4 linked regions of the Arabidopsis thaliana genome follow. The protein of the gene in region 1 interacts with the protein of each later gene in a pairwise test. Each region holds a gene or a part of one and is shown in the gene's direction. Other genes may lie near its edges. The genes, in order: SWC2, MYB70, AT1G72210 and HB-2.

Region 1 (6,234 bases):
TCACTACACCTCAAAACGCAGGCCGGTTCAAGAACGTTCTTAGCCGGGCTATCCAATCCGGCTTGCCCATCAATCTCGTGCAAGTAAAGTTTCCATCTCAAGAATCGGGTTCACCGGAAGGACAGGAGAATTTGGACTTGCTCGATTCATTGGGGGCTTCATTAACCTTCTTCAAAGCATTTAGCCTGCTCGAGGAACCAGTCGAGAAGCTCTTGAAAGAGATTCAACCTAGGCCAAACTGCATAATCGCTGACATGTGTTTGCCTTATACAAACAGAATTGCCAAGAATCTTGGTATACCAAAAATCATCTTTCATGGCATGTGTTGCTTCAATCTTCTTTGTACGCACATAATGCACCAAAACCACGAGTTCTTGGAAACTATAGAGTCTGACAAGGAATACTTCCCCATTCCTAATTTCCCTGACAGAGTTGAGTTCACAAAATCTCAGCTTCCAATGGTATTAGTTGCTGGAGATTGGAAAGACTTCCTTGACGGAATGACAGAAGGGGATAACACTTCTTATGGTGTGATTGTTAACACGTTTGAAGAGCTCGAGCCAGCTTATGTTAGAGACTACAAGAAGGTTAAAGCGGGTAAGATATGGAGCATCGGACCGGTTTCCTTGTGCAACAAGTTAGGAGAAGACCAAGCTGAGAGGGGAAACAAGGCGGACATTGATCAAGACGAGTGTATTAAATGGCTTGATTCTAAAGAAGAAGGGTCGGTGCTATATGTTTGCCTTGGAAGTATATGCAATCTTCCTCTGTCTCAGCTCAAAGAGCTCGGCTTAGGCCTCGAGGAATCCCAAAGACCTTTCATTTGGGTCATAAGAGGTTGGGAGAAGTATAACGAGTTACTTGAATGGATCTCAGAGAGCGGTTATAAGGAAAGAATCAAAGAAAGAGGCCTTCTCATAACAGGATGGTCGCCTCAAATGCTTATCCTTACACATCCTGCCGTTGGAGGATTCTTGACACATTGTGGATGGAACTCTACTCTTGAAGGAATCACTTCAGGCGTTCCATTACTCACGTGGCCACTGTTTGGAGACCAATTCTGCAATGAGAAATTGGCGGTGCAGATACTAAAAGCCGGTGTGAGAGCTGGGGTTGAAGAGTCCATGAGATGGGGAGAAGAGGAGAAAATAGGAGTACTGGTGGATAAAGAAGGAGTAAAGAAGGCAGTGGAGGAATTGATGGGTGATAGTAATGATGCTAAGGAGAGAAGAAAAAGAGTGAAAGAGCTTGGAGAATTAGCTCACAAGGCTGTGGAAGAAGGAGGCTCTTCTCATTCCAACATCACATTCTTGCTACAAGACATAATGCAATTAGAACAACCCAAGAAATGATTGTAACTTTTCTTAGATTGTAACTTTTCTTTTGTATTACCCAAAAAAAATGATTGTGACGTTTGTTCTCGATTACTTCTCTTTGTTCAAGAACAATTTATGATAGTTTTATTTGAAATTGTCTCTATTATCGAATCTTATACTAACATCTTAGTTAGTACATACTTATTAAGCATTCGAATTCGTACACTCAAATTGAAGAAAAAAACACAATTTCTTATATACTTTTTTTTTTTCTGTAGCTTTAGAAGAGTGTAGAAACCTTCTCCAGTGGTCCTGCATGAGATCGCAACTTCGATATTGCTTGCTCCTTGGAGTTTAGAGGAGTGTAGAAACACTTTTTGTTTGTTTACTTTTGCTTTCTCGATCATGACAAGTTGACAACTCGTGTTATATCCAAAATGACATCATGCATGACTTGAAAATTGAAATCTATCTATGATATTACCATTTCTGGACAATTTTGTTAACCGATTTATATATCTTAACATCTTTCTTTTTTGGTATTATTTACGTTACGATTTTTCATCGTAAATTTAATTTAAAATTTTATATATGCCAGTGTAAAAAGAAATTACTCAAGGTCATTAATAAAAATAAAAATAAAACGTTTTTCCCCAGCGGTCTATCATTGTAAGTTTTATTTTACAAAAAGAATCTTCTAATATAATATGGGCTTTGAAAATGTCTAAGTGGAAGGCCCATTAATATCTCAAGTCCAATAACAATGGTGTACGAACCAGCGGCACCGTGTGTGAAAGAGTGAATCAAAGAGGTGCGGCGGTCGCCGGCGAAGACGTGTGCTCGTCGAAGAAACTTCTCCAACCTAAAATTTTCCGAAGGTAACTCCTCGAGCGAGATTTTAAGCTCATCACACAAATTACTTTTCATTCTCGCTTTCATGGGCTCTTCTTCGATTACTGTGTACATCACTCAAATTTTGGGTTTTTGTTCCTGTTTCCCTCTCGATATAATCGTAAAGTCTTGAAATTGCGAGAAACCCTAATTTGGGGGTTCCTTGCTGATTTGTTAATTTGTGTGTTATGACATTTTCGTTTAAATTTGTGAACTTGTAGAAGTAAGAGTTGAGCAAGTTATCAATGGAAATCGATGAAGAAGAGCCAATGGTGTTCTTGGACCGTACAACAAGAGCAACACGGGGTAAACGGTAAGAATTACTTGAGCTTAAGCTTTTACCTGATGAATGTGTTTCACCTGAAGATTGTGGTTTTGTCTCACTGTTATTGAGATGTATCAGAAACTCTCTTGTGGAAGCTTTATTCATCAGTTTTCTGTTTTTTTTCAGGATGACCAAGTTGCTTGATGACGAAGTAGAAGAAGATGAACAGTTTTGGAATCAAGAAGCTCTTAAAGAGGTTTGTTTTGTTTTATATATAGCTTACTCTCTTAAAGAGATGTTAATGATTTGTTAAGGTAGACTAGATGTCAAAATATATAATGGAAAAAAATCAGATTTGTAGACAAGATACTATCGCAGAAACTTTCGTGTGTTTGCTGACATTTATGTATCTCTTTACTTTTGTTATCTGCAGGAAGAACATGATGATGAATATGAAGCAGAACGTGAGGTTGCTGATGAGTTTGACAGTGACTTCAATGACGATGTATTTATGTCTTGCTTATGTATTGAGTACTTATTCATCAAGGTTTTTGCTTATATTTCCATTCTTTTTAATTTCTTTCTTTTGCCTTTTGTTTGGGATTAGGAGCCTGAGCCTGATGCAGTCGCTGTAAATGAAAAAGAATTGAGGTTTGAATTTTTTCAAAGCTTGTCTTATGATGGCTATTATGTGTGTCTGTTTTAATTTTGTTACAATTTTGCATATTGTTGTAGGGATCTGCCAAAGAAGCGGCTGATTTACCCTGGGAAAACTGCTTCAAAGAAAAAGAAAAAGAAGACGAAGGTAGTTTCACAACTAGAATATATTCCTGGAGATGAGAAGCCAGGTGAAGAATTGGGAAACAAGGAACAAGAAGAAAAAGAAGAGAATGAAGCACAAGAAGATATGGAAGGTGAGAAAGTCATTAGGAAATCAACACGGACTTCAGTGGTTGTACGGCAAGCAGAAAGAGATGCATTGCGTGCTGCTATACAAGCAACAACAAAGGTTTCTCAGAACTCATCCCCACTAGCTATTTACATTCATGGCTACACTTTAATCTCTTTTCTAAGTCTTGCCATGTTGAATTCTTTTTTGTGTTTGTTCAGCCAATACAAAGGAAAAAAGTAGGGGAGGAAAAACGGATGACCCAAGAAGAAATGCTGCTGGAAGCTGCTCAAACAGGTTTGGCTTTTATGATGCTGCATCTGATTTGCTCTATCAGAAACTCAAAATTGCTAAAGTCAGGTTCTTGCAGAAATCATGAACTTGAGGAATTTAGAACGTGTCTTGGCAAGGGAAGAAGAAGTAAAAAAGAAAGCGATTGTGCATAAAGCAGTCTACAAGGGTCCTCAGATTCGGTATCATTCAAAAGATGGTAAGCTCTCCAGTAAAATAGTAATCCAGTCTAATTGGATCTTTCCAGAAAAGTAAGAACTATATTTGTTTAAACTTTTAACTTTACATGCAGGATGTAACTATTTAGAATTCTGTAATGGTGCGTCATTCAATTCAGAGTTGTCGACGAAGTCTGTTCCCTGTAAGTAATTTTGAGTGGTGTTTGGAGATGAACATAAATGTGTTCATATTGATCTATACTGATCTCTGTCTTTCTTTTGGTTTGTTTTCTCTTTTCCAGATCCAGAAAAAGCTGTATGTGTGATTACGGGATTACCTGCCAAGTAAGAGTTTTTCTGTTCTTCTTCTTTATTCATCGGAAGAACAAGATCTCTGGGATGAACACAAGTAGACTCTCTTAGGTCTACTAAAAAGAAGTTATCAGTTTCTTTGATATATACTTCTCGAAAAGAAATGATGTTATAACCTAGAAACCTGATTATCTTTTCTCTGCAATTTTAGAACTAGTTCTTAGCTGTTGTGTGTATTGCTGATACAGGTACCGGGATCCAAAAACGGGTCTTCCTTATGCAACTAGAGACGCCTTCAAAGCAATACGTGAAAGGTGTTGCTTGATCCAATTATTGCTGCATCGATGTTTTCACTTGTCTATAGAAGTATTCATCTGTTGTTTCCTCTAACGGATCAAGCAAATGAATGTTATCGAGTGAAACAGGCCTTTGATATTTACATTGTCTTTATTAGTGTTAGAATCTGATATTTCCCAGTCTTATGTTTATTGTTCTGAAGGTTCATGGACGAACATGATGGTTTGAGAAAGAAAATGGAGATGGGAGATTTGTTTGATACACTAGTGGCGAAAGGTTTTGCAACAAAACAAAAGAGAACGAAGATTCCAAAGAGTAACAAATCATTTTCCCTCAGAAGCTCAGCTCGTTTCCTTAGCTCCGAGTCTGAAGAAGAGAGTGAAGAAGATTCAGATTAATAAACACCTCCCTGATTTGGTTAGTATATTAATATAAAGCCTTTAGTTTTCATGAAACATGATCATGAACTCACAGTTGTAATCATGCTCTGCAGAATCTGCATCTCACATGATTGTGATACATCATTCATGGATCTTCCCACGACCATGGTTTTGGTTCTCAGAGATTAGAAGCGAGAAGAACATTCATGGAGGAAATTTTCATGATCAGAGCTTTGAAATGGAAACAACAACACTCTAATCAGAGATTGATCCTCCTAACCAAAACCTCTGACACCCATCTCAGAATCAGAGAGAAAGTGTAATCTTCTGTATATTACTGACCTTGTAAAGATGATATGTTTTGGTTGATAAATATCAATTTCACATTAAACCGAACCGAATAAGCTTTTGATTTTACTTCGGTTCCGTTAAAACCGTTCCAAATCTATAAATATATCACCGATTTGAAAATTGAAACTTTTTGCGATTTCTAAGAGCTCCAATGGCATAATGATTTGGAGTTCAGATTCATGCTTCAAATCCAGGAAACACCAATGTCTTATCTTCCTCAAGCTATGTTCCTCAATTAAACACCTTCTACAGATCCATGGTCAAATCCATCTCTCCTCTCTCCAAAATGACAGCTTTATCATCAGCGAGCTTGTACGGGTTTCATCACTATCCCTCGCCAAAGACCTTGCCTTTGCGCGAACCCTTCTGCTTCACTCTTCAGATTCGACTCCTTCTACTTGGAATATGCTCAGTAGAGGCTATTCTTCAAGTGATTCTCCTGTGGAATCGATTTGGGTTTACTCTGAGATGAAGAGACGAGGAATCAAACCTAATAAGCTCACTTTTCCTTTTCTTCTCAAGGCTTGTGCTTCGTTTTTAGGTCTCACTGCTGGGAGACAGATTCAAGTTGAGGTTTTGAAACATGGGTTTGATTTTGATGTATATGTTGGGAACAATTTGATCCATCTTTATGGTACTTGTAAGAAAACTTCTGATGCCAGGAAGGTGTTCGACGAAATGACTGAGAGAAATGTTGTTTCTTGGAACTCGATTATGACTGCTCTTGTTGAGAATGGTAAGTTAAATTTGGTGTTTGAGTGTTTTTGTGAGATGATTGGTAAGCGGTTTTGTCCAGATGAGACGACAATGGTGGTTTTGCTTTCGGCTTGTGGCGGTAACTTGAGCTTGGGGAAATTGGTGCATTCACAGGTGATGGTAAGAGAGTTAGAGTTAAACTGTAGACTAGGTACTGCACTTGTAGACATGTATGCAAAATCAGGTGGATTAGAGTATGCTAGGTTAGTTTTCGAAAGAATGGTTGACAAAAATGTTTGGACTTGGAGTGCCATGATTGTAGGATTAGCACAATATGGATTTGCAGAAGAAGCCCTTCAACTATTCTCGAAGATGATGAAAGAATCAT
Region 2 (4,390 bases), 5.5 Mb from region 1:
AATCTTTTAGACATGTTAAACTAGCTTATATCAAACAATGAATAGTAACGATAGGCTCTCAAAACTCTAATCGATCTATCCTGTCGTTTTCGATTTACGTAAGAATCTTATTAGTATCTTTTTGAATATCCAAAATAACTGATTTTTGTATATAAAAAGTAGTAATAATATTGGCATACAGGCTGGCTTCTTTAGTCAGAAAAGTCTCTGAAGAATCCAACAAAAAACCTAAACCACTTTTAACGTCATCCTTATCTTCGTTTTATTTTTCTTTTAATCAGAAAATCAAAAACAAAAACAGAAGAAACTGGAATCACTCAATAAGTATGGATACTTTACTTATACGTTTCTAATATGTATAGATACGTCAATTCAATACGCAAAATACAATTTCGAAAAAAGCGACGTTTGTGTTTCAGTGCTTTTAAATTGAAAACAAAATGTGTTTTCACACAACAAAATAAAAAATAAAAATATTCTTAAATTTGTTGTGAAACCAATACAAAATACAACGTTCAAAAAAGAAAAACTAAAACGACACACGACATATATGATTTTATAATTAAAGTCGAAGGAAAACGTAATTTTTTCTAAATCTAATGAAAATACCAACAAAAGTTTTTAAACTTAAATCGAAAGAGACCGAACCCAACAACTAAAATCATAAGCAACTAAACACAAACCCTTTAAAAAACATTAGTCTTCAGAATCAATAAATCCTTTATTTTGAAATAACTACGGATAAAATTTATTAAGTATATGCGATCAAACCAAAGATAACATTAATTACTTTCTATCGATATAAGAAACAGTCCCGTCTCAAGCTATAATTGAGCCTTTGCCAAAATAAAAATAAAAACTAAAATCTCTTAATAAAATTTTGTTTTAAGAAAATTGGGCCTTTTATGCTTATGATTGTTTTTAAAATCAGTAATAGATCCATGGCATTTGCCTAATTTGCCATGGGGTAAAGACGGTCTTGATAAGAGTCAATCTTTCACAACCTAAACTAAAGATTTTATAATCCGACAAATAAAACGACCGAAAAAACTTAAATACGTTTTTAGATACGACAACGATAATTAATGTGCATCTAATTACGTTTAAATAGAAATCTTCAAAAATTCGACCATACCAACACTGATATGCAAAGGAAAAACAAAGAATGTAACCTTCAAAATGCAAAAAGAAAAGATAATTAAAAAAGGAAATAACTTAAAAACGAAATGATTTAAATTAAATAAAAAAACGATCCACCTGTGAAACGCTCTCAAGTACCACAAAATGTACTCTCTCTATCACACACAGTTACATATTTCGTTGACAGCTGTCCCCACTAACAGCTGTTTCCCAAATCCCCAACCGTTTTCTTGGAAAGATTCTCTCTTTATTTTAGCCTCACTCTCTCAGACGCATTTCCCCCAATCGCACCGCCACTCCCTGACGTGCTTTTTTCTTTCTCTTTTAAATATTCAAATACGTATCAGACTACTCACGTTACATCTTCTTCATAACTAATCCAATTTAGAAATTACGCAAAATTACTTAAATATGTAGTTTTTCTAAATAGTTTTACATAACTACAATATATAAGAATTTTTAATTTGAATTTATTTTTTGAAAAAGGTTTGCATTTATAATTTGATGTAATATGATTTGATTTTAGTTTAATATCTTTGTTTAGTTATAGTTAGAAATACAGTACATGTTTAGTTATAATTTAACATTCATTAAAAAAACATTACATAATAATTTGTTTAATAGTATATATTTTAATAAATTTTAGTTTAGAGTTTATTTTGTTTGGTTCAAACTAAATTTCAGTTTTCTGGATTTTAAAATAATAAAACAAAACGGCATATACTTACATATTTAATTTGGTGTCAGTTAACTTATTTCAATTTGATTCAGTTGAAAACATAATTATGCACGTAAATAATCCAATTTACAGTTACGAAAAAATTAAGTTGTTGTTAACTAACGATAAAAAATTACCGGTAGAACCGGTGACCTCTCTAACCATCACACCTCGTATAAATACTCTCTCCTCTTCATACTTATCCTCTCAACAAAAATCGTTTCGTTCTTTTCCAAAATCCCCAAACAATAGAAACGCGTTTTAAACGATTTGATTAGTTTTAAATTAAAAAGAAGATCCGAGCGATGTCTGGTTCGACCCGGAAAGAAATGGATCGGATCAAAGGACCATGGAGTCCTGAAGAAGACGATCTGTTACAATCGTTGGTTCAGAAGCACGGACCAAGGAACTGGTCTCTGATAAGCAAATCAATCCCTGGACGTTCCGGTAAATCTTGCCGTCTCCGTTGGTGTAATCAGCTTTCTCCGGAGGTAGAGCACCGTGGATTCACGGCGGAGGAAGATGATACGATTATACTAGCGCACGCTCGGTTTGGTAACAAGTGGGCGACGATTGCACGGCTTCTCAATGGTCGCACTGATAACGCGATTAAGAATCACTGGAACTCAACGCTGAAGCGGAAATGTAGCGGCGGAGGCGGCGGAGGAGAGGAAGGGCAGAGTTGTGATTTCGGTGGTAATGGAGGGTATGATGGTAATTTAACTGATGAAAAACCGTTAAAACGGAGGGCGAGTGGTGGAGGAGGAGTTGTTGTGGTGACGGCGTTAAGTCCAACGGGATCTGACGTCAGCGAGCAATCGCAATCTAGTGGATCTGTTTTACCGGTTTCTTCTTCTTGTCATGTTTTTAAACCGACGGCGAGAGCTGGTGGAGTGGTGATTGAGTCATCATCGCCGGAGGAGGAGGAGAAAGATCCGATGACTTGTTTGAGGTTGTCTTTGCCTTGGGTCAATGAGTCAACAACTCCACCGGAGTTGTTTCCGGTGAAGAGAGAAGAAGAAGAAGAGAAGGAAAGAGAGATTTCTGGACTTGGTGGAGATTTTATGACGGTGGTGCAGGAGATGATTAAGACGGAGGTTAGGAGTTACATGGCGGATTTACAGCTAGGAAACGGCGGAGGAGCTGGAGGAGGAGCAAGTTCGTGTATGGTGCAAGGAACTAATGGTCGTAATGTAGGGTTTAGAGAGTTTATTGGATTAGGTAGGATCGAGTAGTGAGTGAGAAAAGAGAAGAATTGTGTAGCAAATGCAGAGAAAGAGCCAATTTCATGATTTGAGATTTGATTCATTCGAAAAAAAAACTGAATAAATGTATTGATTTTGATCATGACATGTCTTAGATTTAATGAAATTGGTCTATAAAAGGGTTGATGAGGCTGGTCCTCGAGGTGAATCAATGTTACCTTTTGATAAAGTGAAAGAAGAGCATGAACAAAGTCATTTCCATACAAAGAGGAGTTTACAGCATTCTTGATCTCTCTAGACTGGTCTTGCGATTCGAAGAGTGAAGTAATGAATTCTACTGAACCAAGTGACGATTTCCGTAGTTTGTTACCTTCGGTTACCGACTATAGCATCGCAGTAAAGGTTATAGTGTGAGAGACAACATCATATATAGATATTCAATGAATGATACAGAGTGTAGAACAGATCACCTCAATACAACTAACTGTAGCAGTAAGGCCTCTACCGGGGAAATACTCAAAGCACAAGGGAGGTCCTTCCCAATACTGTGGCTCTGCAAAAAAGAAAGAGTTTGATTGTGTTAATAACTATCAAGCGGTGTAAGATTACTGATGTTTGACAAGCAAATACCTTCCAATAGGATGTATGGTACCTTTCTCCATAGCAGCTGCTACAACTAATGCTTCCTTTTCACAATTTGGCATACAATACAACAAGGAGTCACACTTGCATCAATTCCTGCTTGATGATGTCCATAAATGGGTTCAATTGCTTTGCACGTAAGGCTCCTAATGTTTACCTATATAATGGAGAAGAAATATGCACTAGATATGTGTATAACTTGTTGTCCAAGCCAAATTTCCACAGCTCCATCCGGAACAACATCCTTCAGAAACTATCTAAAGAATTGGTTAACTTCAATTTCCACGGAAATCGCGATTTCTTGGTTAAAGTTGAAGTGGATGTAGCTGTTAAAGAGGTAAGCTTAGGTGATTATCACTCAGAAGAAGGTTAAAGTTAAGTCGCTTCTTTTTGCTTTGTGGATTTGGAGCTTAACTATGTTGTTATTGAAACTCATTAAAAACATGAATATCCAGTTATTCATTCACATAATCAGAATAATAAATTAATTACAATATATATTACATTGTACATTATTATCAAATGAATTTCAATAAGTTAACAAAAGAATATTCCTACAGAGAACAAATGAGGTTCTTCCAATTCTTGATTTTCCCAAGTTCTAAGCATAAAAAGAAAAATCTGAATAATTAATCTGAAAAAAAACTAAACAAAGCAATCAATTTCCGGAGCTAGACCAAAGCAG
Region 3 (5,747 bases), on another chromosome or scaffold:
AAAAATATCTAAATTATTTAGCTAGGAGCCTAGGACTATATATTATTTTTGCCTACTATAGTACTACTTGGATGGTTTTGAAATTATGGTATCTTTTTATGTCGCAAATAAAAACTAGAGGTACACGGACTTAAAGGAGACAAGAGTATCATAGCCTTAGATTTATTTTCCACCGTGTTTCTAAATAGTGGGATTCTTTCGAGTTTCGATCAAATGATTTTTCGCTTAGATTTCGTTTTGCATCACATATTTAAGTTGTTGCTTCCCTCTATTGGTTAAAGCGACCAAACAACTTTGTTACACAGCAACCCTAAGTCGTGTCATAGCCATCTAATTCTCACATCTTCTATACCGCATAAAAGTTCGATAATTATTAATTAGACTAATGGAAAGATGCCACCTAGTTAATATACAAATTAAGTTGGGATATCGTCTCTTATTCTTACATATGTCAACATCAAGAATACTTTGTTTTAAGCATGACATGATTACATTAATAAAGCATTACCCCACACGCCGAAATGTTATTCTTATTTTTATCCGTGAATTTTTTCTATGATCAAATTTGTCCGTCTAAGTGGATTGAATGCAAATGTGAGTGTTTAATTCCCATCATCAGTTGGAAGATCAGGGATTCTTTTTGTACAAGATTGGAAGATCAGGTTTTTGAGTTGAATATGGTTTGATCATCATCATTTTACGAACATTCGAAACTTGCATAGTCGAGTAATTTTTATCTCTCAATTTCTGTTTCTTAATCAATATCCACGTAAGTTTTTTTTTTTTTTTTTTTTAAACAGTTGTTTTTAAGTATCAAAGACATGGGAACCAGACAGTTGAAAATATATTTTTAAGACAAATTTACATATTTTAAATGTCTTCTAATCTTAATATTTTAAATGTTTTCTAATATTATCTTGTTTTAAAAAAAGAACACATATTTTCAAATTATATGATATTGTTGTTACTATTATTTCTTTTTTTACTATAAATTTTGTGACAATATATATATATATATATATATATATTAACCATTTTTCGGCGGTATAAAATAGTTTACCACCGAGTAATTGCATTCAATCGCACGACCAACAAGTTATAGTATTATTCACTTTGCCCCAAACTAAAAGTTTATTTTAGAAAATTCATTAACAGTAAATTTCATTTCCTTCAAAATACATTTTTGTTCTGTTTTTATTTATTTATTTAATATATTAACATTTATCATGTATGATGATTGATGAAGATGATTTTCTCAACATTTCTCTCCTTTTTTTTTTGTCTCTCAACATTTCTCTCCTATATAAAATTTAAACTATTGAACGAATGTTACTGCTACGAAATTATAATATTTACTCTAAGTTGTCATCAGGATTCTATTACTTTAAAAGCCAAAATTTACTAATCAAAAACTAGTTGATAGATTGTAAAATTAATTAAGCACATTTATTGATTTAAAATTTATTTTTTACTCTACAAATCGTGATTTCCAAGAGTTGTATCTATATAAAGGCAATATGCTTTCGGACCCATGCATGGTCTTGATGTTTTTTTACGGTTATTCCATTACGGGTAGGGTTATGTGATAAACGATATGATTTCATATAAAAAGAATAAATCAGCGGTCATTGTCTCCGCATGGTTCGGGGAAAAAATACTCGTATAAATAAGCCTTTAGATTTCGAATTTATAAAGCTTTGACGTCGGCTGATACATAGAAACAAAAAAAAACTTTGATGTCAAGCTCTCTTTCCTCTTCCTGTCCATCAATACGCGTTACACACGCACAATAGAAGCAAATTATTGTTTGAATACCTAAAAGAGGATAGACGACATAATTATCACCGCAAACACTCTAAATTTTGGGATATAGCTTTCATTAGATTACATTTTGACTCACATGGTATACGGCAAAAAAATATTAAATTCATGGCAACGTATAAAGTTGATATTTCAACATGTTATAATTTCTCTCTCTTCGAACATGAGTGTAACAAGACGAACCCCAAAGCCTGCAAAAACACACAGAATCTTTTCTTTGGTTTTGTGGACCGGTCTACAATCTCACGTGCAAAACCAAACATACACGATCTCTCTCTCTCTATATCTCTACTTTTTCTGAACTCAGTTGGTTTCGATTTTCTTCGGACCTTCTATTGTTAAATCAGCTTTATAACCTCACAAGCTTCTCCTCTATTCCATAGATCAAACCACAACTTTGTTTGACCTTTTTTTGAGTACTTCTCTTGTCTTTTCTTCTTCAAGTTTACTTAGTTCTTTGAGAACAAATTTCTGTTGATTTTTTTTCTTTCTTGTAGAGGGATAATTACAAGTTTAATTTCCCTAGAGTGTCTTTACCTTTTGCCTTGTCTCCCTCTCGAGACAAAAAGAGAAAGAGAAACACTTTCTGTCCTCTTTTTTTTTCCTCTCTTTTTCTCTCTCGCTGGAAACCTTTTCATATTCAAGTGTAATTTTAATATTTCAAGCAATTTTCTAGCTAATTATGGCCTTGGAGGCTGTAGTTTACCCGCAAGATCCGTTCTCCTACATCTCTTGCAAAGATTTTCCGTTTTACGACTTATACTTTCAAGAAGAAGAAGATCAAGATCCACAAGATACTAAGAACAACATTAAGCTAGGGCAAGGACAAGGACATGGTTTTGCGAGTAATAATTACAACGGTAGAACCGGAGATTATAGTGATGATTATAATTACAACGAAGAGGATCTCCAATGGCCACGAGACCTTCCTTATGGATCTGCCGTCGACACCGAGAGCCAGCCTCCACCGTCGGATGTGGCGGCGGGAGGAGGGAGGAGGAAAAGGAGGAGGACGAGGAGTAGCAAGAACAAAGAAGAGATCGAGAACCAGAGGATGACTCACATCGCCGTTGAAAGAAATCGCCGGAAACAGATGAACGAGTACCTCGCCGTTCTCCGGTCTCTCATGCCACCTTATTATGCTCAAAGGGTTAGTCTCTACATACAACAGTTATATGTATATGTGAGTGTGAGCGCGTGAAATATTCAGTCCTTTAGCTGTATTTCTTGACGTGTCAAAAAAAAAAAAAAAAAGCAAAGCCTATGTTCTAGGCTTTCAGCTAATTAGGACATGCATAGGCTATACATAGATATGTCATATGCATGTATGTTTATATGTTTTGAAATATAAATTTGAGAATGATGATAGATGAATGAAAGCCGTTATATATATTGACAAAAAATAAAAACTAAACGAAAGTCGTTATTTCTTTTTTTCATAATTTTATTAGATCATGTAGTCTCTAAATGAAAATTTTGTTAGTGGAATTGTGGGAGCATAAATAAAGTCTTGAACATCATTGCACCCAAAAAGGACTATACATATTATAGATTTATAATGAGATGGTGACATAATATATTTTTTAAAAAATTAAGGTACGAAATATAGACATGTTTGATTGTTTTTGCAAAACCTTTTGCAATTTCTATGTGCTAGACTAACATAAGGTTGGTGGTGGTTAAAGGGAGATCAAGCATCGATAGTAGGCGGAGCCATTAACTACTTAAAGGAGCTTGAGCATCATTTACAATCAATGGAACCTCCGGTTAAGACCGCCACAGAAGACACCGGAGCCGGCCACGACCAGACCAAAACAACCTCGGCTAGTTCGTCGGGACCATTCTCGGATTTCTTTGCATTTCCTCAGTACTCGAACCGGCCTACCTCTGCGGCGGCGGCTGAGGGGATGGCGGAGATAGAGGTAACGATGGTAGAGAGCCATGCGAGTCTGAAAATACTTGCGAAAAAGAGACCGAGACAGCTTCTTAAACTGGTCTCATCGATACAGAGCCTAAGGCTCACTCTTCTCCATCTAAACGTCACAACTCGAGACGACTCCGTCCTCTATTCCATCAGCGTCAAGGTACATTTTTTTCTCTCTTTTTCACCATTTTTTGTTTTTTTTTTCCTAACCAGATTAGAGTGATCATGTTATATAATACCGTTGTTTAGGGTTAGTGGGTTGAATTTGCAAATTCAAATTAAATTGGTATCTAATAATTAATGGGTGACTAATCATTACTCCCATTGTTGGTTTTGGTTCAATGATTATTCATTGATTGTTTTTCCAATCACAAATGTTTTGTGCATTTAATGTGTCTCTTATTAGTACATGTTGTGAATTATTTGTCTGGGCCAAAAAAGGTTTTCCAAGAACAAAAATAAAAATCGTTCCTTTTTTCTCGTTCTTTTTTACTTGGTTAGGGCTGGCCTCAATTATTGGGGGGTCAAAATCATCATTTCTTATTTATTAAAAAAGACAAAATTTTGAGTACTATCATAATATTGATTCTTGTAAGAATCAGGGACCAAAAAGATGACATATGCCTACACATGTGTGAATGTGTGTATATATATATGTGTACTGGGCATGTTTGGTGGTCACAACACTGTGGATGCACTGTGCACGGCAGAACGAAATGACGCCACTTGTTTCAGGACACATTCATAAGCTTCTTCCTCGAAATATAAACATTTTCTTTAATCATCTTTTTACCTTTTCAATGACTATATATCAATCTTTTTCATGTAACTTAAAAGAAAATATTAAAATAATGGGTTTATTCAGGTTGAAGAAGGGAGCCAATTGAATACAGTAGAAGATATTGCAGCAGCTGTGAATCAAATCCTAAGGAGGATCGAAGAAGAGTCATCCTTTAGCTAGTATTGTTGAATTTTAGTTATGGCACATTTAGAGGAGCTCTAATTTTTCATGTGTGATCTTTTGCTCTCTCTTTTTCATATATTAAATAATATAAATTTCCTTTTTCTTTTTGTTAACGTTAATTCTAATGCATTATATATTGGAGTTTTTGTGTGATTGACCTTTTAGACCTGATCACAAAAGAGGAACTAGCTTTTAAGAGCTCTATACGAGAATAGTAATTATAAGCTTGAGCAATTGAATTTTCCCACACATAAAAAAAAGGCTTGAACAATTTGACTGGTTATGAGATAGCTGAAAAAAATTCAACCACACTTATATAAATATACCGGTATGAGTCATGTGAAGGCGTCCCTAAAAGACTCGGTATATCGTGAATAACCGGCTTTGCACGGTTCGTTTAAGAAGGAATTAGTTAGAATAGTATATTTTGTGAAGTAATGTCTAAATATGCGCTAATTAAGAAAAAAGTTTGATGAGACTCTCATGGTCTGAATCAGATGTTTTGAACACCCATGACATCTAAGACACCCGCAAAGGGCCACATATACGATCGTAAATAATAATCTAGTCTGGGGTCGGAGAACACTTAAGTTCTAATCGGAGAGACTTTTCAGACTCAATCCACCACTAGTTTTTGGGTAAGCAAACATAGTTTAAAACTATATTTGCACATTCGCAAAAGGGAGATCCCTTTCCAAAGAAACACATTGAAAATTCTCTTTAGCTTATTCATAATTATTATTCTGAGAATATATTAAAAGAATGAATGTGATATGTATATGCTTTCTCATGAAAAAATGACTTCAACCTTTCTCATGATTGTTTACTGAACGAATGGGTTGAATTCGCTTTAACGATAATTCTACTTTGACATTTTCTGCCTCACTTGAGTTTTCAAACTGATATTGTTCGAGAAAATGTATTTACGAAACAAACAAAGGGAGTTTTATATAAATATATACCAACGGAGCCATGCGAGTACTAAATGTCAAATTTTGGGGTATATTACATATTTGGAAAAGCTTGGTAGATGAATTA
Region 4 (4,842 bases), on another chromosome or scaffold:
AAGCATAATTCGGTTGATTTTTATTTTATTTTATTCTGATTGATAGAAACTGGAAAGTAAGATGAATTGGACATTAAAAAAAAAAAAAATCCCTTTAAATTTGAGCTAATTATAGCAACTAGTCAGATCCTTCTTTTTTTTCTTTGAACAGAAAAAGAATCGCCAAAAAAAGAAAAAGATGTACTTATTTAGCGAAAATATTTTTCGTAGTAAAAAAACTTCTTTCAATATCTTTGCTTGAATGTGACCATTTCTATTGCACATACAAAAAAACGACTATAAAAAGGACCCACAGTGATTATGAAAATCAGATTGACGAAAAGTTTGTGTGTCTGATTCCAATCATATTGATCCAATTCATTCATCATATTCGATGGTTGTCAAAGCATATAGCTGGATTAAGTGGGGCACAACACTGAAAACGTTTCTCAACCGTATGATGTCATTTCAGCCTTTGGTTTTCTCAACGTTTAATCGGTGACCGTCAATTTCTTTTCAATCTCTATAATCATTTCTTCTTTTGGCGTGTCACTGGGACCTTCACTGTCAATGCTGAATTAATCTCCTTTAAGGATTTGAAGGCAAGAAAAATCTTGTTGCAACTAATAAAAGGAATCGATTTTGATGCTCATTAATCGACCTTTATGACCAAAATGGGTCTATATGAAATAATTATATGATTTGACAAGTAACCATTTGATTTACAAATTATTCAACGATTTAGCATTACAAAAACATCTAACCATGCTTAATGTATGATGTTATTCATTTTAAAAAGTCGAATGAAACCCATGTTTATCTCAATGCATGATTTAATAATTTTATTATACATGCACATAATTCTACATTTTTAATTAATTTTATTAGTTTAATAATAATAATTAATTTTCTTTTTTTACACTTGTTATAGGTGAGAAATGAAAGTTATCATAATACAAAACATCAGTTTTTATAAAACCAAATAAAACTCAAAAATCATTCAGACAAATAAGTTTATGGACTTATGGTATATGATGATACTCTCTCAACATCCTCATTAACATCATCACTATTAAGTTAACAAAAAGAAAAAGAAAACATCATTATAAGTTATTAATAAGTTTAAATAGTAGTATTTTATATTCTGGTACAATGTACTGTTTTTGGTCATTAAGTGGTTCAACGACAAAAGTAAAACTCATGCGGTCGACCCATGCGTTAGAAGAAGAAAATCTGAAAAGAAGTTTGAATTCTTTAATTTTTTCATAAAAAGAAGTTTGAATTCAATTCAACCGTTTTTGTTTAGTTCTTCTTTAATTAACTTTATCACTAATGTTTAAAAGTAAAAGGTTTTTAAAGTGTGCAACAAGCGTGACTCTTTGGCCTTTAGAGTCATCAAGAAGGGTAATCATTTTTTTTACTCTTTCTCGACAATAGCAATCAAATTATCATTCCCACTTTTAATAATCTCATAAAATAAAGTCAATCATAGTTAAAATTTGATAAATTCCATGGAAATGATAAAAATTTGATTTTACTATTGTTGGATGTGCAATTGTTCATGGTAACTTACTAATTTATATGCTTTATTAGTTGCAGATAGTGATATATATCGAAAAATGAAAGATCTAATTCCAATAATTGTCAAAGAGGATTTCTAAATTTCTGTTTGACTAGGTCATATATTCTCACGACTCAACGATCTAACCAATCACCTACAACAGAAAATTTGGTTGAAATAAAACGAAAAGTGATAAGTCCAAATGTTTAAAACAAAAAAAAAGTAAACAAAAGGCAAAATAAGATAACTACGATTAGATTTTGTTCTCGCCTTATGAATATCCTAAAAATTATCTATTAGTGATAGTTTGATAATCATCTTTGACTGAGAAAATTGATGTCACATAAACATTAATATAGTATCAACATTAATCATTAATGATGCGACTATAATTATTATTTTATCACAATTTCTTAGATTTGATAATTTGTTTAGGTTTGAGAGAGTTATATAGAGGGGGACAAAGAAGCAAAGTTTGTGATTATAAAATTATTTCCATTGAACTAAAGTTTTCAATAGTTTATTCTTGACTTTAATAATAATAACTATTTTGCCCCCAGCTAGTCACATACTCATGATTGCAAAATCTCTCTCTCTCTCTGCCTCTCTATATATTAACCTTTCTTCTTCCTTTACTTTCTCATCTTCTATCTCTCAAAAGAAAAGCAGACAACTTTATTTGCAAAAACAGAGTTTTTTTTTCTTATCTTGAGAAAGTTCAACAGAAGATGATGTTCGAGAAAGACGATCTGGGTCTAAGCTTAGGCTTGAATTTTCCAAAGAAACAGATCAATCTCAAATCAAATCCATCTGTTTCTGTTACTCCTTCTTCTTCTTCTTTTGGATTATTCAGAAGATCTTCATGGAACGAGAGTTTTACTTCTTCAGGTACTTCATCGCTTTCTTCGTTCCTCTGTTTTTTTTTATTTTTCCCCGGAAAAAACCTTAAAGGTCTCACCTTTTACTCTACTTTTCAATCTTATGCATGCAGTTCCAAACTCAGATTCGTCACAAAAAGAAACAAGAACTTTCATCCGAGGAATCGACGTGAACAGACCACCGTCTACAGCGGAATACGGCGACGAAGACGCTGGAGTATCTTCACCTAACAGTACAGTCTCAAGCTCTACAGGGAAAAGAAGCGAGAGAGAAGAAGACACAGATCCACAAGGCTCAAGAGGAATCAGTGACGATGAAGATGGTGATAACTCCAGGAAAAAGCTTAGACTTTCCAAAGATCAATCTGCTATTCTTGAAGAGACCTTCAAAGATCACAGTACTCTCAATCCGGTAATTTTTTTCTTCTTTTACTTATTGTTTCACCCGAGAAAGTTTGGTTTTACTGGGAAAATTAATGGCTATGATAAATTGTGGAAACGAAAAAAGAACGCGTTAATGAAATATTCACATTAAAATGACTATTGTTACATGTTGACCAAAGAAAAAACATTACTACTACTATTTGTTTCGGTCTCTCATAAATGCAGATATTAATTTATAAATGGCATTTTGGTAAATGTAGACTGATATCAAGGTTTTTTTCAACTTTTTTTCACAGAAGCAGAAGCAAGCATTGGCTAAACAATTAGGGTTACGAGCAAGACAAGTGGAAGTTTGGTTTCAGAACAGACGAGCAAGGTAAATAAAACACACACAAACAAAAGATCTCTCTATTTGCCTGATTTATCTATTTTCTTATAAGGGTATTTTGGTAAATGTTTAACAGAACAAAGCTGAAGCAAACGGAGGTAGACTGCGAGTTCTTACGGAGATGCTGCGAGAATCTAACGGAAGAGAACCGTCGGCTACAAAAAGAAGTAACGGAATTGAGAGCACTTAAGCTCTCTCCTCAGTTCTACATGCACATGAGCCCACCCACTACTTTGACCATGTGCCCTTCATGTGAACACGTGTCGGTCCCGCCACCACAACCTCAGGCTGCTACGTCAGCGCACCACCGGTCGTTGCCGGTCAATGCGTGGGCTCCTGCGACGAGGATATCTCACGGCTTGACTTTTGACGCTCTTCGTCCTAGGTCCTAAGTCTTTTTACTTGCAACCAAAGGGCATTTTGGTCGTTTTTTAAGTTTCATGGACCAGATATGCATGTAGTTGTTAACATGTATGTATTTTCTTAGAAAGAAAGAAAAACAGATTAATATTTTTCTAGCTTAAACCAACATATATGTGTCATGCTAACAAGTAACAACAAATATTTAGAGCCAATGCTATCAGATATTATGACTTTGAAATCATTTTGTTTTGTTTTGTTGCAATAAATATTTTGGACAAAACTATCACAAGAAACTTTATTGCAATAATATTTATAGTGTCTAGCGAGTAGCCACAAACCAAGAAGTACAATTGATGTAGGAAATGCAAAAGAAAATTAAATGGTCCAAATTGTTTCATGTGGCTATGTGAAAAATATTAAATAGTGGGCTAAAAATAGTTGAAATTTCTAAAAGTTTTTCCAGGATTTTTTTTTTTTTTTTTTTTGTTAAACTTAAAAACTTAAAACTTATACTTTGGGCCCAAGTGTTCCTGGCATTACCATTACAACTATAAGTGAGAAAGAGATTACCATATGTCATACATGAGTATGGGCAAAGTTTAGGCCTTATTGAACATGTAGGTTAGGCTATGGGCCACTTCTTGGGTTTGAAAGGTTAACGCAAGTGCTTATCCCCACTACATGTTAAATTTAAAACTCTGATTTTTCAATGGTGTTGAATTGGACTGCTCTGAGATGTTGAAAATGCTAGATGATCAATAGGATTGGATACGTTTAACGTATTTAGGATATACTAGGCCATGAAGTAGTAATATTTGTACTAATTGTCTTGCTAAAAAGGTAAGAGCATGAGGGTTCATGTTTTCCTATGTAAGCAGCTTGGTGTCGGATTTACTCTCTTTGGAGAGTAGCCTCTTCTCATCGGAGCATTGATCTATAACGTTTTAGCCGCAAAGAACAAAAACCCCGAAAAAGATGATCTCATGATCATGTTCAAATCTAGAAACATAAAGAGGGGTATCAATCTGTTTATACTTCACATAGATCTCCATTCCTGTTTTTGTGGGTGAATAAATGTAACAAAAATATTTGTTCCCCTTAATATTACAACCTTATGATGATTACCAAAACATACTTAAAATGTATACCTATTATTAATAAATAATGAGTTCTACCTCGAAGAATTTGCAGAGATCTTATTAGTAGATCTCTTGATAGACTCGATTCTTTGTAACCTAATCTGTTCTCTGAACTTTGCAATGAACTCATCTGCCTTCTTGTCCACGTCA

The links.
Region 2: the proteins of SWC2 (region 1) and MYB70 interact in a two-hybrid assay, tested with the Arabidopsis thaliana proteins (one large-scale study listed by BioGRID).
Region 3: the proteins of SWC2 (region 1) and AT1G72210 interact in a two-hybrid assay, tested with the Arabidopsis thaliana proteins (one large-scale study listed by BioGRID).
Region 4: the proteins of SWC2 (region 1) and HB-2 interact in a two-hybrid assay, tested with the Arabidopsis thaliana proteins (one large-scale study listed by BioGRID).

The regions. Positions count from the first base shown.
Region 1 is NC_003071.7:15,405,649-15,411,882, reverse strand, and holds SWC2 (DNA binding protein SWC2), read left to right. Parts: upstream 1-1,970; 5' UTR 1,971-2,194; intron 2,195-2,428; 5' UTR 2,429-2,452; coding exon 2,453-2,520; intron 2,521-2,658; coding exon 2,659-2,728; intron 2,729-2,905; coding exon 2,906-2,977; intron 2,978-3,079; coding exon 3,080-3,123; intron 3,124-3,207; coding exon 3,208-3,481; intron 3,482-3,582; coding exon 3,583-3,658; intron 3,659-3,731; coding exon 3,732-3,851; intron 3,852-3,944; coding exon 3,945-4,013; intron 4,014-4,112; coding exon 4,113-4,155; intron 4,156-4,370; coding exon 4,371-4,436; coding exon of another isoform or gene 4,437-4,512; exon of another isoform or gene 4,513-4,621; coding exon 4,622-4,817; 3' UTR 4,818-4,836; intron 4,837-4,912; 3' UTR 4,913-5,261; downstream 5,262-6,234. Other genes in the region: UGT73C1 (UDP-glucosyl transferase 73C1), read left to right, coding at 1-1,352; AT2G36730 (Pentatricopeptide repeat (PPR) superfamily protein), read left to right, coding at 5,310-6,234. UniProt on the Arabidopsis thaliana protein: Component of the SWR1 complex which mediates the ATP-dependent exchange of histone H2A for the H2A variant H2A.F/Z leading to transcriptional regulation of selected genes (e.g. FLC) by chromatin remodeling.
Region 2 is NC_003071.7:9,903,598-9,907,987, reverse strand, and holds MYB70 (myb domain protein 70), read left to right. Parts: upstream 1-1,955; 5' UTR 1,956-2,163; coding exon 2,164-3,093; 3' UTR 3,094-3,482; downstream 3,483-4,390.
Region 3 is NC_003070.9:27,177,563-27,183,309, forward strand, and holds AT1G72210 (basic helix-loop-helix (bHLH) DNA-binding superfamily protein), read left to right. Parts: upstream 1-1,895; 5' UTR 1,896-2,503; coding exon 2,504-2,971; intron 2,972-3,506; coding exon 3,507-3,905; coding exon of another isoform or gene 3,906-3,968; exon of another isoform or gene 3,969-4,610; coding exon 4,611-4,706; 3' UTR 4,707-4,894; downstream 4,895-5,747.
Region 4 is NC_003075.7:9,447,023-9,451,864, forward strand, and holds HB-2 (homeobox protein 2), read left to right. Parts: upstream 1-2,091; 5' UTR 2,092-2,268; coding exon 2,269-2,428; intron 2,429-2,531; coding exon 2,532-2,830; intron 2,831-3,098; coding exon 3,099-3,178; intron 3,179-3,266; coding exon 3,267-3,582; 3' UTR 3,583-3,883; downstream 3,884-4,842. Other genes in the region: AT4G16790 (hydroxyproline-rich glycoprotein family protein), read right to left, coding at 4,725-4,842. UniProt on the Arabidopsis thaliana protein: Probable transcription factor involved in the negative regulation of cell elongation and specific cell proliferation processes such as lateral root formation and secondary growth of the vascular system.